Nothobranchius furzeri: one gene and its partners. The protein of the gene in region 1 purifies or fractionates together with the protein of each later gene. This does not show direct contact. Links are inferred from orthologs where the notes say so. Each region holds a gene or a part of one and is shown in the gene's direction. Other genes may lie near its edges. The genes, in order: ambra1b, hspd1 and serine/threonine-protein kinase Nek9.

Region 1 (5,910 bases):
TTTCAGCCGTTGTGCAGTGCCACGCCTGAGTCTATGTAGGGAGAACACTGCACTGCCAACTGATTGGCTGGTTCAAATTCAAGCCTGCCTTTAGGGGGAGTCTCCAATCGGCAGGTAGACTCAGGCAGCGGGGCTTCCCATAGAGGGCAACACCATCCTCTGCTGCCCGCAGATAAAAGGAAGTGGCGCCACCATCACCAGCGATCTCTGAGGATGGCTAGAGCTACTAGCTGTAACATGTCAGGTAAATAAATAATTTTTACTAAACTTTGTAAGAAAAGAACAAAAAATGGATTACGGACCAAAACACAGTAGGAACAAAAAGGGCTTCCTGCATGTGAGATTCATCTTCATTCTGGATACTGAGGAGTAAACATTTCCTCTGACTGAAGCCGTCTCTGTCTCTCTCACTGAGACTGCTGTGAGGAGCACACACACACACACACACACACACAGCAGTCTAGATGCAATATCAGCATCTCCGAAAGCAACACTGTCTTTGTTAATTAATTATTAATTAAGTAAAATTAAAGTCCCATTAGTTGTCACACACACTTATGTGTGTGTGTGATGTGAAGTGTGTTCTCTGCATGTGACCCATCCTCAGGGGGAGCGGTAAGCTGCAGACACAGCTGCGCTCAGGAACTATTTGGTGGTTTAATCCCCCAATCCAACCCCTAATGCTGAGTCTTAAGCAGGGAGGTGTTGGGTCTATTTTTTTAAAGTCTTTGGTATGACCTGACCAGGATGTGAACCCATGACCTCCCAGTCCCAGGGCGGACATTCATACCACTAGGACACTGAGCTGGTAGTTTAATAGCACCATGTACTTTTCCACTCATCTTTATCCCGCCCACGTTCTCAGAGATTCCAACGTTCCTGAAAAGTGTGTCCAAACAACACCCCCCCCCCCCCCCAGCCCGGGCAGGACCAGGCCAGATGTGGAAGTGGCATTGGCTCCCACTCTGTTATTGAAGTCATTTAAAAATTCTTTTATGTATTTATAAACACCTAAATGGTCGTGAGCTGTGCTATCTGTCTGACCTGCTGATGGCACACACCCCTTTGCAAACTTACGTCAGCTGATCGCAGTCTGCTGACGAAGCTTTGGTCCCAGATCTGCAAACTGATTCACTTACGGTCACTCACCTGCTTTGTGTTTGACCAAAATAGTTGATTTTTCTGCAAATGTTGTGTCTCGTATGGTTTATTTATCATTTAGCATGTGTTTTTACTGTACAGCACGTTGGTACACATTGTTTTTAATCAGTGCTTTATAAATAAACTGAATTTTTATTTTAATATCTATTAATACCAACACAACAAAGCATAAAAATGTGAAGTGGAGTGAAACTGTGCTGCAAATACACACACTTCAGATTTTAATTTACTTAGATTTTTGAAAACCATGTATCCATTTCATTCCACTTCACAATGTTGAGCTACTTTGTGTTGGTTTTTCACAGAGCATCTCAATAACAAACATTTACGTTCATGGTTGGAAGGTGTCATAATGTATAAAAGTTCAAGGAAAAGCAGCTGGTTGGCGAGGGAACCAGGCTGGTACTCAGGTTTGTGCAAATGTATATTTTGTCATGTTTCAAGGATAAAGTATAAACAGCAGATATACGGTCTATTCAGAGAGATTTAGGCCAAAAGGTAGCCTGGCCTGCCAGACTCGTCCTCTGTTTAATTCTGCAGTTTAATTCTCTGTGCAGAATAAAACAGAGGAGTCTGGCAGGCCAGGAATCCAATTGGTAGAGACAAACAAACAAACAAACAAAAAAAAAAAAGAATTTGCAGGAAGATGTGAATGTGATTCCTACATTCATGTAGTTTTAAAAATCTTATTAAGTAATTAAAATATTTAGAGTGCGTTACTCACACTGAATAACTCCTTACAAATGACATTTTGGGGCGTGGTTTCTGTACTCTGTGGAATGCATTTTAAAAGTAACCTTTTCAGCACTGCCTGATCTGGCCACAGTGAGTCTATCTATAATAAAAAACGCTAGTGCACATGTGTTTGATCACGGTTTTATTTCTGACATTTTACCAAATATTCAGCGTTTGAAGCCCAAGAAGCACCTGTTTCTAGGGGGTTTAAATAAATAGAAGAGCAACTTCTCAATGTGAAGGATAAATAAATACATTGGATTTGTCATCGGGTTTAGTTGTGTAAATCAGAATTAGCAAATCCTTTTTTTTTACTCAAACTGTTTGATATCCACAGTTGGTTGATATTTATACATAAAATGATCCGTTGATCCAACTCGGTGCTCTGTTAATAAACCTGCGCAGCTGCTTGTTAGCAGCTAACTGGTTACGCAGCACCGTCTTTAGGCAGCTAATCAAACATCGGACCAAAGCCTAAAAACACCCTAGATTACTTTTCCTTTTATGAAAATGAACGTTTCCCGCTGACTTCAGCGGACGGTGCTCGGTTGAACAACACTGATACGCGGATGTTACCGTTAAAGATTTAGTTTTGTTAGCAGCCGCATTTCCCATTTTTGGCCGAACTAGCTAAGGAGCTAACCGAAGATAGCCTGTTAGCGTCTGTTGATGGCGGAGCTGCGGAGCCGATTTTAAAGAAAGGTAAGTCAAAGTATCTGCGCTTTCATTGCAGGATTTTATACGTGAAGTCCAACTGTTTGTAGTAAAACATGTTTTATATCTGAAGCCAAAATATCTGCGGCTTAAATGTACTAATATGTAAACAGAGCTGTGATCTCTACAGGTTAAATACTGAAAATGTCTGCAATCTACAACGTAAGGATGTATTTGAGCCTGGAGAGGAATAATCAGACTGAAACCTGAAATAGTTAAGGGTTGTTTGTGCAATCACAAGTTGGATAACGCACTACCTATGTAAGTGTCGGGTTTTGAGATGGTGAGTTACTGGTTAGATCAGGGTTAGTTACAGGGTAGGGTTAGGCCTCATTGTTTGGTGGTTTCTGTCTCTATTAACAGGTAACAGTTGATTTATACAGAAGAGAAAAGGTAGAAAAACACTCAGAAACACTTTAAAATGCTCAAACATTTCAGAAAGTCTGTCTGAGGTAACATTTTAAATCATTTTCCATCTTTCAGGTTAGTGTTGAACCCACTCATTACTTTTCATCGTACTTTATTTTGATCGACATACATACTACGCTACCTGTCAAAAGATTTGGAACGCCCCAATTTTTCCAGTTTTTATTGGAAATGATGCAGTTTAATGTCACATTGCACGCTGAAATTAAAGCATGGTACAAATAAGCAATTGTAGTTAATAAAGAAATCATGGAATAAATCAGGTAGTCAGGTCGTGTTTCTTTAATCTTTGCCGGCTGGCCAAACTAAAATCTGTCCTGAACAAAAAAGATCTTCAGTCAGGTGTTCATGCTTTTGTACACGTCTGGACTATGCCAATTCTCTTTTATATGGTATTCCCTCCTCTTCAGTGGTACGCCTCCAATTGGTACAGAATGCTGCTGCAAGGTTTCTTACGTATACATATATATACATACATACATATATATATATATATATATATATATATATATATATGTGTATACATATGGTATCATACAATGAGCTAGCGGTTTCAGAACAATAGAAAATAAAACAGATTAAAGTGTTTAAAATAAACAGTTCCCAGAATAATGGTGCAAAATAGTGGCTGGTCGAGGTAGAATCTTCAAGTAAAAACAAATCACAAAGTAAAGCACACTACCAAATTGTAGTATGAAATACTATCTAAACTTTACAAAAAAATATGCAAACCAAACCTAACAGTAGATTCCACTCAGAAGTAAAATTTTGTTAGATTTAGATAAGTGAGGGAACGCATTTTGTAGCTAACAAGCTCCGTCGTTCTCTTGATCTGGAAGCAGTACGCTTAGCTTTAGCTTAGCATAAAACTATGTGAGTAAAAGGAAGGTTCTATGCTAGAATTGTGGTGGCAGTGGTGTACAAAGATGCCTGATTTTTGAAATGTTTAAATTGGTTTTTAAAAACAACTTTGGCCAACAGAGAACAAACTGAATATATCGCCCGGCCACTAATCAAAACAACAATACTCGACTACATGAGCAGAAGCAAAAACAGCGTAACAGAGAGGCTTGTTAGCATGGCTTCTCTTCTTCATCCACCTTTTCTTACAGAATATATCAGTGAGAGTGAAGCCGTCAAAGTTCAGGTCACGCGTGAACTAGAATGTCATGCCAAGGTAGCACAGCCACAGGTGTTTCAGAAACGCCTCCTACACCTGCTGTAGACCAAACAAGTCAGGGAGCTGCTAAAACGCCAAAGAAGAGTCTCAGGAGCTTTTTGAAGGGACCTGTTAGTGGCAAGACAGATGTAACTGCAGATGAACTTCTATGAATAGCCCACCAGTCAGTGTGATCCTGTTTTGTGATGGAAAGTTCACACTGCAAACTTTCCCAGCATCAGCAGATTAGCTAAGAAATACCTCTGCACTCCAGCAACCAGCTCTGCATCTGAAAGGTTGTTCGGCACAGTTGGAAGTTGCCAGCGGTCCTCCCTTAAGCCCACATCTGTAAACATGTTGGTGTGACAAAGAAAACTTCAAAGTTGAGATGTAGAGAACTTCCATGAGCAATAGTGTTATTTGTCCATGTTTTTTTTTCATTCAACAGTTGGCGCAGTTTTGTTATTTGACTTATTTATTTGGCACACTGCAGTTTTATGTAGAAAAGCAAGTCTTCTTAAATTTAGTGGATATTATACATGGTTTATGCTCAGGATGTGTCGGCTCATTTCCACTGTCCCTTGACTGTAGAGGACCTCTCTGGATTCTGGGCTTTAGTTTGAGCCTCTGATAGTTTTTTACTCCACACACTAGTTTAGGTGTTGAGCTCCATGCAACATCCCAGCTCCGTGCTGGACAGAGTGAACTGCTGGTTCAACTCCCCTAAGTCTGTGCTCCCACTGAAGAGCTGCTTTTTTTCTCTCATCCTCTGCATGGCGATAGCTGACTGACTTCAGTGGGAGTCACATAATCAGTCAACCCCCCTCATTTCCAGGATGACGTCCCATCAGAGAAACTCGGTCCAGATCCTGTCCAGCAGGGAGCGGGGGTCCCAGAACTTTGGCTCTCAGAGGCTCCTGCAGCTGCTGGTGGAGGAGAAGGTCCGCTGGATGAAATGGCAGAGTCAGGTGTGTTTGAAATGATTGTGCTATTAGTTATTAACAATAAATTGACATTTTCTGTTTCAGAAATGTTATTTTTTACATTTATTTGAATTCCATTTTTTGGTTATCTTTTACTCAGAGTAGTAAAAGCTTTATTTTGGCCTTTTTGGTCGTCACAGCATCACCTGTGACAAAGGATAGGAGCCGAAAAGGTCAAACTAGGAATGCACCGAAATGACAATTCTTGGCCAAAATGGAAAATGAGGAAACCAAAACCAAAACACCAGAAGAAATGATCATGTCAGTAATTAGAACCATATTATTTCTGGCTACGATGTGTACTAACCTCACTAAAGTCGAGACATTGCAGTAAATCAGTTACAAAACCATGAAAGTGTTCATGTAGCACTGACATAACAACAACACACAATATAAATTAAAACTAAAAATCAAACTTTTCACTTGAGCATACTCGTGTACATTAAATAATAAATGATAAATTAAAGTAATAATTATAAATGTGCAGGTTTATAAGACTTGCTGAGGACTGTAAAATGAACCCTTTATGCACCAAAGTTGCAATATTGCATTTAACGAGCCACAGCTGCAAATATCCTCACTCATGACGTTATTGCTTTACACCAGAAGATAGTGGGGATGTGTAACTTCAGTCGGAGTAACACTTCTGGGTGTTTCTATTGAAATAGTTGGATTTTATAGTTAGAAAACTTTGAGGTTTGAAACAAAGAAGAAAAGTTGTGTTTGTTTGTG
Region 2 (5,986 bases), on another chromosome or scaffold:
TTTAGCCTAGTTGACTTGCACTCATTTTTTCGTTCTTCTGGTGACCCATGAGCCCACCGGAAAAGCAAGAGACTTCGGCTCCCTATAGGGCGCTGGAGAGCATAGCAGCATCAAATTGGATGGGTCTTCTCACTCTCCAAAGTCAATGCAGAATGGGCAACTACGCCCGTTTTGGGCAGCCTACTGTTGCAACAACATGCGTGCTGTTGAAAACAGATCACGTGGGATTACTACTGACTTTTCTAACCTACCTGATGGGACTTTATATTTTAATTTACTTTCATTTATTTAGTTTATTTATATTTCAATTATCTGGTTTTGTGAAAAAGCTTGATAAAATGTGTTTTTAGTTGAGTAAGCACCTTCCTCGGTAGAAATGAATGTACTAGGGGCGAATGGAGACCTATCTAGCATGGTAGCTGGCCACTACGGCAGCGCCAGTCCATGGGGCGTCTACAAACATGTCTGTTAGAACTAGAGGTGTGCATCGGCAAGAATCTGGCAATACGATATACATCGCAATACAAGAGAAAAGATACAACGTATTACTATGCTAAAAGCCAGAAGAATTTAGCATTTTTAAAGACTGGACTTAATTAGAAAACTCAGGCCTCAGCTGAGCTCTGCTTCAAGACACACCCTGTGTTATGGTGAAATCTCATGGTTCCACCAGAACGACGGTGGTAAAAACTGCTGCCACCTAGCAGTCAGAGTTTGAATTGCACCGCAACAAAAGAAAGACAGTAAATGATTTTATGTATGCACATGCTTAATAAAAAAAATATGATGCACTGCTTTTAACAGAAATTCAGAATCATACCACAAACTATTGCAATAGTTATTGTATCGTTATTTTCTTACATCCCTAATCAAAGCATAAACATAATGAGTGGAAAGATAAAATATTTTTTAAATGCTAACAAAGCAGCTTAATTTAGACTGTGGCTGTGTAGTATACCTACATTTGTTGTTTTACCATTATTTTTCTCTGAAAATATTGTAAAATTATATGAATAAGGGTTATGGTTACGCTAAGAATAATCAAAGGTCACCCATGTACAGGTAAAACTAAAATTTAGAATATGGTGCAAATTTTAATTAATTTCAGTACTTCAGCTTAAAAAATGACAATAGTATGCAAGATAGACTCATTACATGCAAAAGCCTTTACTTGGTATATTTGTGATGATGACAGCTGATGGAAACCCCAAATTCAAAATCATAGACCATGAGATAAAAACAAGGATTTTAAACTGAGAAATGTCAGACATGTGAAGAAGCATGCATACGTTGGTTTGGGCCCATTTCGCCTTTACTGAAATAAATTAACTTTTGCACCGAGTTTAAATTTGTCCAGTTTCACCTGCAATTCAGTTTGCCACCTTTTTAAAACTACCCTCGGAGGGGTTTCAACCCCCGCAGAAAAAAGATCGCAGGTTTGTTGGTGAATTTAACTTTTAAATATGAGTAAATGAAATGCACCACGTTGTTGTGCTGTCTAGCCAACCTGATACAGATGCAACTGTCTCCCTCCGATCTCAGGAGTATCATTAACTCAAACATGAGGTAAAGCTCCTTCACTGCTCTCTGCTTGGCAACGTGACCTTGTGAGTGGATGTTAGCATTCTCTACGTTAGCTACTGACATTTTTGCAGTGAGATTTTAGACTAAAAAACCCACAGACATCCATTTCTGCCTTTCTAACAGGTCCCTGTGCATTCCGCTTGAATGAAACCATTTTACGTGCTAGTTCTTACCATTTCTACACGTGCGAATGGGTAGAGAGCCGGAGACGAGCAGCACAGCAATCAGAACCTGTCTGAAAAGGAGTCACTACACACGAGGAAAGATCCTGAAAACGCATGCGCACTAAAGCCCTCCTCATGGAAAGTTCTGGTACACCCAAGGCGGATTACGAAACTCTCTTTCATAAACACTCGCGTTATTCGCGTAGATTAGAATGGAGTAAAGTTAATCACAAATGATTTCTCATTTATTTAATTGAAATTGAGTTCTCTAAGCAGGCGCAATGTTGCACAATGTCAACTTTGACCTTTGTTTTTTCCTCCAATTGCGCACGAGAACATTCTGGAACTGTCAGACCGGGAACGAGCATAGATAACAATTATTTCTACAAAAGACAAGTAAACAATCACACAGTTGGTCAGAACGCAGGAATACATTGAAAATAAATCAGTTTAATGAAGGATTATTGATGTGAATCATGTCATTAAACGAAATGTAACGCTTAGTTTACACAGGTATGTTTATACAGAGTCCCGGGCGGCCCGGTAAATAACCCGGATGTAGTAGACCATGTGCAGTCCTGTAGCTGCTCTTGCTCTTCTGTTCGGCTGTTCCTCCTCTCCTCCGTACACCAAGCTGCCTGACAGTCTTAGCAAGTTACACGCTCTAACCTCGCAGGTAAGTCGAAAAGAGTTGTTTTAAATGGCCAAACCACGACGTGTGTCTCATTGGCAGCTGCTTCCGTCTGCATATGTTGTCTTAATGTTAACTCATAGTGAGATAGCTGTTCATCTGAGCTCGCTGCACTCCGGCCAAACTACAAGGACATTTTGGTTGAAACGGCTCTACGGCCTTTAACACACATTTGGAATATCCTCGTAACCGCGTTGTTTAATGCTAACCCTTCCACTGTAACGGATTCCGTTTTCTTCTATTTCATAATGAATTGGATCAGTTTGATTTGGCCCACGTGATTGTACTCGCGGCAGGAGTTAATACTCCCCTTCAAGGTGTAGGGATGAGGAGGCTGCTCTGCGCGTGCGGCGTGCTTCTTTTGACCTTGTCAGGCACGAGCTGCAGCGCACGTGGGGGCAACAACCAAAAAATATTTAAAAATATATATATTTTGAAATTCTCTAAAGTTTCGTTACACGTTCTCGTTTGTTTAACATAAAATTATTTTCTAAGAACTTTCTTTGAACTTTTCAGAGAACTTTGAAATCTTTCTGAGTGGTTCTACAGATAAATGTCACGTGATCAGTTTAACTACCAGACTAGTTAAAATGTTCCATCATCAATCTGACAGTGTGTTGAATAATAGCAGGAGATGGGGAATAAGTTCAAATAGGATGACAAAAATGGTGATCAGAATCAGGAATGATTAGGAGCTGTGTTCATGTTTAACTGTTAGGTGGATAAATCATTAGGCAAGCATTTAAAGCCATTACATTTCTAAGAACATAAACTCTCATGGCTAGCTGTTACACGTGAAATATGTATTTATTCCAGGACCAGATACTTTAGTTATCCATTTATTCTGTATAATTTGGTCCATACCATTTATCACAGTTGGTCAATTATTGAAGTGCAACTTTATTAATCTTTTTTTCTTTTCTTTTTTTAAGAGATGTTTCGTTTACCCACAATTATGAAGCAGGTCAGGCCTTTGAGTCGGGTTCTAGCTCCTCACCTCACACGAGCCTACGCCAAAGATGTGAAGTTTGGGGCTGATGCCCGTGCCCTCATGCTGCAGGGGGTGGACCTGCTGGCTGATGCAGTGGCTGTCACAATGGGTCCGAAGGTAAAAAAAAAAATAAAAATTCTAACATGTATTGCTTTATTGTCTTTTATTTTTGAAATATGATCAGTCACTGAGATTTGCATGCAGTCTGAACATAAAAATAGTCTTAAACCAAAAGTTTTCTGCATTTACTGAGAAAAAGGCTGGGGAAGGCTGTTTTGGTTTAGTGGCCAGGAGAGAGTAGAGCACATCTCGGCTAGTAGATGCTAACCATTAAAACAGAAGTCTGAGAGCTTTTATTCCACAGAAGACCTCACAAGGCGTTCATTCTAGAGACCACAGCACATTCACAGAAAAAAATATTAAGACCTCTAAAAGAATAGTAATTTATCTTCTTGCCAACAAATATTTTAGGCAAAAGCGACATTGTATAAAGATGTTTAACCATGGTGTTTGTTATAAAGTTTTTCTCCACTTTTCTCATTTCAGGGTCGCACTGTGATCATTGAGCAGAGCTGGGGAAGTCCCAAGGTCACCAAGGATGGAGTGACGGTGGCCAAAAGTATTGACCTGAAGGACAAGTACAAGAACATTGGAGCCAAGCTTGTGCAGGATGTGGCTAACAACACCAATGAAGAGGCTGGCGATGGCACAACCACAGCTACGGTGCTGGCTCGCGCCATTGCTAAGGAAGGCTTTGATAACATCAGCAAAGGTGCAAACCCTGTTGAGATCCGCCGTGGGGTCATGATGGCTGTGGAAGCTGTCATCAACGAGCTGAAGAATCTGTCCAAGCCTGTTACGACTCCAGAGGAGATAGCACAGGTATGATGAGGTTGGGCTTAATTGTTCATGCTCACCTGAGTGTCTGGAAAGTAAACCTGATGGTTAAATGTGAAATCTCATTTCAGGTTGCTACGATCTCTGCCAATGGAGACGTAGAGATCGGTAACATTATATCCAACGCCATGAAGAAAGTTGGTCGCAAAGGAGTCATCACAGTAAAGGTTGGTCATTGACTCCCTTTGATGGCTGGTCATCAGGTTTAAAACGCATACAGGCCATGGGTAATGTTTCACGTGTCTCAAATTAGGACGGGAAGACTCTGCAGGACGAGCTGGAGATCATCGAGGGTATGAAGTTTGACCGTGGTTACATCTCGCCTTACTTCATCAACACCGCAAAAGGTAAGGCAAATCAGTCTTCGTGGTAGGGGTGGTTTTTGATGTTTAACTGATCTCATGTGTGTTCTCTCTCTGCTCAGGCCAGAAGTGTGAGTTCCAGGATGCTTACCTGTTGCTTAGTGAAAAGAAGATCTCCAGTGTCCAGAGCATTGTGCCAGCGTTAGAGATCGCCAACCAGCATCGTAAACCTCTGGTGATTGTTGCTGAGGATGTGGACGGAGAAGCCCTGAGCACCCTGGTTCTTAACAGGTGCGTCTTGTTTGTTACATGATCCCAGCAGAACCTGGTGAAGTGTTGGACCTCGTCATGGCGTAAGGATTTAAACAGATGGTTACTTATCATTGGTGTGCCTTTCAGGTTAAAGGTTGGGCTTCAGGTGGTCGCTGTTAAAGCTCCAGGCTTCGGTGACAACAGGAAGAATCAGCTGAAGGATATGGCCATCGCCACCGGGGGCACTGTTAGTCCAACTCTCTGATTCAGCGTTATTTTTAAGGCTGGAGTTCGATCCTCGCTGTATGTTATTGATTTTCTCCTCCCTTTTGCAGGTGTTTGGTGATGAAGCTCTGGGTCTGGCTCTTGAGGACATCCAGGCTCATGACTTTGGCAAAGTCGGTGAGGTGCAGATCACCAAAGATGATACCCTGCTACTGAAGGGTGGAGGCAACCCTGCTGACATAGAGAAACGCGCAGCAGAGATTGCTGAGCAGCTGGAGCACACCACCAGTGACTATGAAAAGGAGAAGCTCAATGAGAGGCTGGCGAAGCTATCGGATGGTGTGGCTGTGCTGAAGGTTTGACTTGCTGCTGCTAACAGATGTTTTTTCTGCAGGAACAACAAAACTGACACCTTTGTTGCTCTTTAGGTGGGAGGAACAAGTGACGTAGAGGTGAATGAGAAGAAGGACCGTGTGACCGACGCTCTGAACGCCACGCGGGCTGCAGTGGAGGAGGGCATCGTGCTCGGTGGAGGCTGTGCTCTGCTGCGCTGTATTCCTGCACTTGATGCCCTCAAAACTGCCAATAGTGACCAGAAGATCGGTGAGTAGAGTGCAGTTGGCTCTTCGTGTGTTCATGGAACTGCTACGGTCCTAAGTTTGTGTCTTCCGTTCAGGTGTGGACATCATCAGACGGTCGCTTCGTATTCCTGCCTTGACCATCGCCAAAAATGCTGGAGTGGAGGGTTCTCTGGTGGTGGAGAAGATCTTGCAGGGACCACCAGAAATAGGCTATGATGCCATGCAAGGAGAGTTTGTCAACATGGTAGAGAAAGGCATCATCGACCCTACCAAGGTACGCAACAGAAATTACGGTCATC
Region 3 (5,839 bases), on another chromosome or scaffold:
ACATCAGTATTAATGAGTTTCATCATTTCAATGGTGTGACTCACAAACATCTGCGTAAGCACAAACATGCATTTTAAGTCCCACCTGCAGACATTTATTCCAGCATTTTGCAAATTTTTTCTTACTTATTTTTCTAACTCACCTGTTCCTGCTGATTATCAATCACAACAAGATCAGAACCACGTCTGATGCAGTCTGCTCTGCTGTCTCTCCAGGTCTTCTTCTCATACGGAGAAAAGTAGTAGCAGGATGAGTTGAAATGAGTCCACCCAGAAGAACATCTGCTACAAGATGTACCTGGAACAAAGAAATATGTTTGTGTCGTCTTAACATATTCAAAAATTGTAATCATGAATTGCATTACACATCTGTCTGACCTAGAGCTGACAAGTTGGCCAGTAGGTTGGTATTCTCTGCTTGCAGAGCTTTAAGCTGTCTCTGGTAACCATCATTGATAAGATTCAGCTGATGAACTTGCTCCTTTACTTTTGTATAATTTTGCATTGTCCCTTCAGCTTCAATCCCAGTGCTCTGGTTGCTACAGAGATCGTTCAGCTTGCTGAACAGCTGTAAGGCTGCAGAGTGATAAACCTGAAGGGAGTCCTTTTTGATTTTGGCACCTGAAGAAATGAAAACACACTTGTAAAACAATTGGAGTGGGTCACAAACAATAAACTTGAAGATTGTCATTTATAAATTTGAGGTAAATAAAATTATATTCACAGCCAAGATAAGATTATAATGAAAGTTTTATTGTTTCAGATCTTTACAATTCATGAGGAAAAACCAAAAATTGTATTTTTATCTCTTCTAACTTTAAGGGATGTTGAAACATTTCTGCAAGAGGACTACAACAAAAATAAAAGTACATTTAGCAAATTGCTATAAATGAAATCCTGATGAACATTGTGAATGATACTTACAGTTTGCACTAAGAGCAACAGCAACTATGAGTAACACAACGTTCAGAAGTCCCAGACACAGATTAAGAACGTTGTAGTTTTCAAAACTGTATCCACCTGCAGTAATTAAGCATAAAATGTTGACTTTTGTTAAATTGTTCATGTAATTTTGAACAGTGGGTAGCTTACTTGCTTTATTTAAAATTAAATAGAAAAGAAAAAGCAATTTCTACAACATATTTGATTTTGCAAAGCCTTTGATGGGAATTTCTGTGAACTTTGGTTAAGAAAACAGGTCATACCTTGTCCAAATATTTTGTAGAGTCTGTGGCGGAATTCATTTGCTCGTTTGTATGTTTGCTCCATGACTGTGGTGTTGAAGGAACTGCTGAATAATCTGGTTGGTAACGTTTTTATACTCATGAGCGGAAGATAAGGAATTTGTTCTCCTTTTATGTTTGGTCAGATGTTTTAATAATTTGACTGTTCAGAAGAACTGATGATTTTCTCATTGGCCTCATTTGACACATACTTTTTACAAGTTTGTTAGAATAGTTTTATTAATTTGTTTTACAGGTTTATAATAAGGCATCATTTTAAATTACTTTTCTACGAATAACCAGCACTTTGTTTATTTTTGTCAGGTAAAACAACTGGATTCCTGCTGACATAAATAAAAAAATGTGAATTTAAAAATGCCATAATTTGAACTACATTTTATGCAGATTTGAACATTTTGCGATTGTTTCCGGGTCAAAAGAAACTAGGGCAAACTAGTCAAAATTGAACGGAAATCTTTGTAAACATGTTTGTAACTTGCATACTCAACTCATAAGTTTATTAAAACTATTAAACAGAGTAAAAGTAACTACAAACTTCAGGATTTGGTAGCTGGAGCTGATCTTGGTGGCTAACTTGTTAGCTTAATAAAGCTAAATGTTGAATGGACCGAAAGTGTGCCCGGAAACAAACCCTACAACCTTTCAGAGTAAAGTGTATCACTTTGTGTGTGAATTGTAAACATTTGTTTTGAAAATCCAAAGAAAAGTTATCCAAGTAGAGTCCTTTCAAAGTTTCGTGCTTGATGTTTGTTTAACTACTGTACTTGTACAAATTTTGCTACGATACATGTTTGGTATTCCACGGCACATGTGCTTTAAGGAGTTTATTTTATAGTTTTTACGTAGCTTTATTTCTGGGGCACCATGTTACACGTGCGCGCGGTTTTATGCGAGGTTTTCCAAAAGTGTTTTCGCTAGGCCTCGTCGTGTTATTTCCATCACTGTGGGTCTGGTTAACAATTGTCGGCAGAAATGTCACTGGAGGACTATGAGAGACATTTTGACTCGCTGAATTCGGATTTGGGTGGCGGTGGGTCTGTTGTCAGTGAACGATCAAGTTCAGGCTTATTTGCTGGAGAAGAGGAGAAGTTGCATTACATTCCTATCCGGATCCTCGGGAGGGGGGCTTTTGGTGAAGCAACCCTGTACAGAAGGACAGAAGTAAGTTGGACCCATTTTAGACCCATAAATTTATATTTTTTTAAATCACAGATGACACAAAGTATATATTGTCCCACAATAAGTTTCCTGGTTGATTACAACCCTTCAAACACTTATTTTATAGTAATATACATTAAAGCTCATAAACAACTTGGGACATTTTCCTGGGGATGGTTTTCAGACATACAGTATTTTTGTATTTATACGTAGCTTTTGTGCAAATCAGCTTATTTTGATTGCACACATTGTGTACAATCCACGTTTGTTATATTGAAGAACATAAAACAATCTAAAGAAGCCTTGGAGCAGACATGTCCAATTGTGGCTCAGGGGCCGCTTGGGACCCCTGGAGTAATTTAGTGCGACCCCGTCAGCATTACCAAATTTTAGTTTCATTATCGTTGGTTTTGACTGGATCTTTGGTTGTTTGTTTAGTTTTACTATAATGAGGCCTTAAAACTAAAAAGTGACTTTTTTAAATGAAAGGAATTACATTTTTCTGATCTGCAAGGACTTTTAACTTGATAATTTTGGCCCATTACTTGACAACATTGGACACCCCTGACTTGTTTTGTCATGTTTATGTCAAAATAGAATATAAACAGCTCCTTTTCCATCCTTTAGATCTCTTTGCAGCTAAACTAAAATCCTCTGCTCATTTGTTGTCTGCACAACAGAGGAATACATTATTTTCAGTGAACATAGATATAAGTTATAACTGCATAGAAAGAACCATACAGTACCCAGGTCAAGACCAACGAACATCTACTCCACTAAAGGGTTTGTATTAGCCTGGCAACCTGTCCTATATATGTAAATATATATTCTGGCCACAACGACCCATAGACAGAGCTCAGTTACGAGGCACACGCTATGGCTGTCTTTCAATCTGTCTCTGCATGCAAGTGGAAAACGCTAGGACCAATCAGAGCAATGAACAATGTGATGCATTCATGGCAACTGAAATCAGATAATGTGGCAGTCTGCCACACACACTGTTGAATAAAAAGACATACCTCTATCTGCTTATGCCTCAAAGAAAAGCCCCATTCTACATCATCCAGAGTTGATGCCAAAGCTGTTTTAATTGAGCGCCGTTCCTGGGCTGCTGCCATCTTTGTTGTTTTGCTCTGTTGTCATAAAAAAAAGAGCTCTGCCGTCATGGTACTAAGCCCGCTCCAACATCTAGAGTGGGCTGGCCTAAATTTAGCTGAGCCAATGGTAGCCTTGCTGAGGCTACTATGTGCAGCTAGACCAACCAACTAGGCTAAATCTTCTGCTACTGCTACGGTTGGTCTAGATTTCTTGGCTAGGTCTGTTTGGTGGGCCGTCCAAAAACATGAGAGACAGAAAAGAACAATTTGTTTGAACCTTACTTGGTAATTTAGTATTCTGTCTAGGACAACTCTCTGGTCGTATGGAAAGAGGTGGACCTGAACTCGCTCTCAGAAAAGGAGCGTCGAGATGTCACGAACGAAATCAGCATCCTCTCCATGTTGGAGCACAACAACATCATCGCCTACTTCAATCACTTCATGGATAAAAACACTCTGCTCATTGAGTTGGAGTATTGCAATGGTAATTAATTGGTTTATTCTTGATGATCATCATGTGTAAACAAATGCTAACACAGGTTATAATTGCAGGAGGAAATCTGTATGATAAAATTGTTCAGCAGAAAGGGAAACTTTTCACTGAGGAGGTACGAGAGCATCCTTGTAGGTGTTTTATTGAAAACACAACCTTTTTGATTGAAGTGAGTAATATTTCAAATGTTTCCGTAGCTTGTTGTTTGGTATCTGTACCAAATCGCCTCAGCAGTGGCACATATTCACAACGCCGGGGTCATACACAGGTACGATCTGTAAACTATGTGAATATTCTATGTTTTTCTTTTTTGTGAATAAATGGTCTTTTGTTCTTTTAGAGACATCAAAACTCAAAACATATTTCTGACCAAGACCAACCTCATTAAACTGGGCGACTACGGCCTCGCCAAGAAGCTAGGCTCTGAGTTTTCGATGGCAGAGACGGTACGTCCATCAGGATATTTTATGTGAGCAGAAATGACCCAGCATTGATCTCGACCTGTTCTTGTTTGGTCCAGTGTGTGGGAACTCCGTATTACATGTCCCCTGAAGTGTGCCAAGGCACAAAGTACAACTTCAAGTCCGACATTTGGGCAGTGGGCTGTGTACTTTATGAAGTTCTGACATTTAAAAGAACATTTGATGCAACGGTACGTCTAACTAGCGTCTCTTCTTTATTATGTCTATCATTACATCGGATCGTTCTTCCTCTGTGATGCATTTGTAGTTTGTTTCCACGTAGAATGCTCTGAACCTCTGTGTGAAAATAGTCCAAGGAAACTGGACTATGGAAGTGAACTCGGATCTTTATTCAAGTGAAATAATCAAGTTGATTTATGATTGCCTCAATCAAGTGAGTAGGAGAAATATCCGTTCTTGTTTTGGATAAATAAAACTGACTTACTTGAGAATGAGGGGATCTTTGTGTTGCAGGATCCTGCAAAGAGGCCCACAGCTGAGCAGATCCTGGATCAGCCATTCATCGCCTGTTGCCGACAGTAAGATTTTATAAAAGCGATTTTTAAAATTTTCTACTAGTAAACATGAATGACTCTGATTACTTTTGAACAGGGAGCTGGAAGAGCGAGTTGTCATGCTTAATTCTGCCATGAAGAAACCAAAGTAAGTTCACATCCACCATTTAAAGCCTCCCTGATATTGTGCGAGTTTGATGGCACTGGTTTGTTCCGTCTCATCCAAAGGCTGAGCACAGTGACTGAGACACCCGTTGCTGTGGTGACCACGCGCACAAGGGAGGTGTATTTTTGGGGAGGAGGAAAATTCACCCCCCAGAAGCTTGACTCGTTCAAAGGAGGCAGCAGTGCCCAGCATGTTTGTGCAGGAGAGAGTCACTTTGCTGTGGTGACTGTGGAAAAAGAGCTGTTTACCTGGGCTGTAAGGAGGAATTCCTCACTTTCTAACAGATCTACTGGTCTGTTTAATCTTTACTGATCTATTTTTTTTTCTTTTTACACTTTTAGAATGTTCAAGGTGGAGCCAAGATGGTGGGCCAGCTGGGGCAGGGGGACCAGGCGTCCTACCGACAGCCGAAGAGGGTGGAGAAGCTCCAAGGGAAGGCGATACGTCAGGTGGCGTGTGGGGCCGACTTCACTGCCTGTGTGACAGGTGGGTTGAGAGAGCTTCGTGCTAAAACACGAACACGGGGAACTCTTCATTTACTATTCTGCTTCCTTCACAGACGAAGACCAGCTCTACATGTTTGGGTCGGACTATTACGGCTGCATCGGAGTCGAGGGCGAGATGGGGATGGAGGTCTTGGAGCCGGTGCTTCTAGAGTTTTTCGTGGAGCGGTGTGTCCGGCAGGTTTCCTGTGGAGACAACCACG

Evidence for each region.
Region 2: the proteins of ambra1b (region 1) and hspd1 purify together in Homo sapiens (affinity purification with mass spectrometry, with the first as the bait; 3 studies listed by BioGRID). This does not show direct contact. The link is inferred for Nothobranchius furzeri from reciprocal best matches to the Homo sapiens genes AMBRA1 and HSPD1.
Region 3: the proteins of ambra1b (region 1) and serine/threonine-protein kinase Nek9 purify together in Homo sapiens (affinity purification with mass spectrometry; 3 studies listed by BioGRID and IntAct, with this or other methods). This does not show direct contact. The link is inferred for Nothobranchius furzeri from reciprocal best matches to the Homo sapiens genes AMBRA1 and NEK9.

Annotation. Positions count from the first base shown.
Region 1 is NC_091744.1:80,389,308-80,395,217, reverse strand, and holds the start of ambra1b (activating molecule in BECN1-regulated autophagy protein 1B), read left to right. Parts: upstream 1-2,369; 5' UTR 2,370-2,598; intron 2,599-4,978; 5' UTR 4,979-5,031; coding exon 5,032-5,163; intron 5,164-5,910. UniProt on the Homo sapiens protein: Substrate-recognition component of a DCX (DDB1-CUL4-X-box) E3 ubiquitin-protein ligase complex involved in cell cycle control and autophagy.
Region 2 is NC_091754.1:36,097,300-36,103,285, reverse strand, and holds the start of hspd1 (60 kDa heat shock protein, mitochondrial), read left to right. Parts: upstream 1-2,290; 5' UTR 2,291-2,424; intron 2,425-3,371; 5' UTR 3,372-3,373; coding exon 3,374-3,547; intron 3,548-3,976; coding exon 3,977-4,312; intron 4,313-4,398; coding exon 4,399-4,494; intron 4,495-4,580; coding exon 4,581-4,674; intron 4,675-4,751; coding exon 4,752-4,920; intron 4,921-5,028; coding exon 5,029-5,128; intron 5,129-5,216; coding exon 5,217-5,462; intron 5,463-5,534; coding exon 5,535-5,709; intron 5,710-5,782; coding exon 5,783-5,961; intron 5,962-5,986. Other genes in the region: MOB-like protein phocein, read right to left, coding at 1,758-1,760. UniProt on the Homo sapiens protein: Chaperonin implicated in mitochondrial protein import and macromolecular assembly. Together with Hsp10, facilitates the correct folding of imported proteins.
Region 3 is NC_091758.1:32,478,251-32,484,089, forward strand, and holds the start of serine/threonine-protein kinase Nek9, read left to right. Parts: upstream 1-1,982; 5' UTR 1,983-2,215; coding exon 2,216-2,404; intron 2,405-3,792; exon of another isoform or gene 3,793-3,804; coding exon 3,805-3,982; intron 3,983-4,050; coding exon 4,051-4,106; intron 4,107-4,188; coding exon 4,189-4,259; intron 4,260-4,331; coding exon 4,332-4,437; intron 4,438-4,511; coding exon 4,512-4,643; intron 4,644-4,735; coding exon 4,736-4,846; intron 4,847-4,926; coding exon 4,927-4,991; intron 4,992-5,064; coding exon 5,065-5,115; intron 5,116-5,195; coding exon 5,196-5,388; intron 5,389-5,474; coding exon 5,475-5,619; intron 5,620-5,692; coding exon 5,693-5,839. Other genes in the region: asialoglycoprotein receptor 1-like, read right to left, coding at 1-50, 143-297, 378-620, 924-1,019, 1,205-1,325.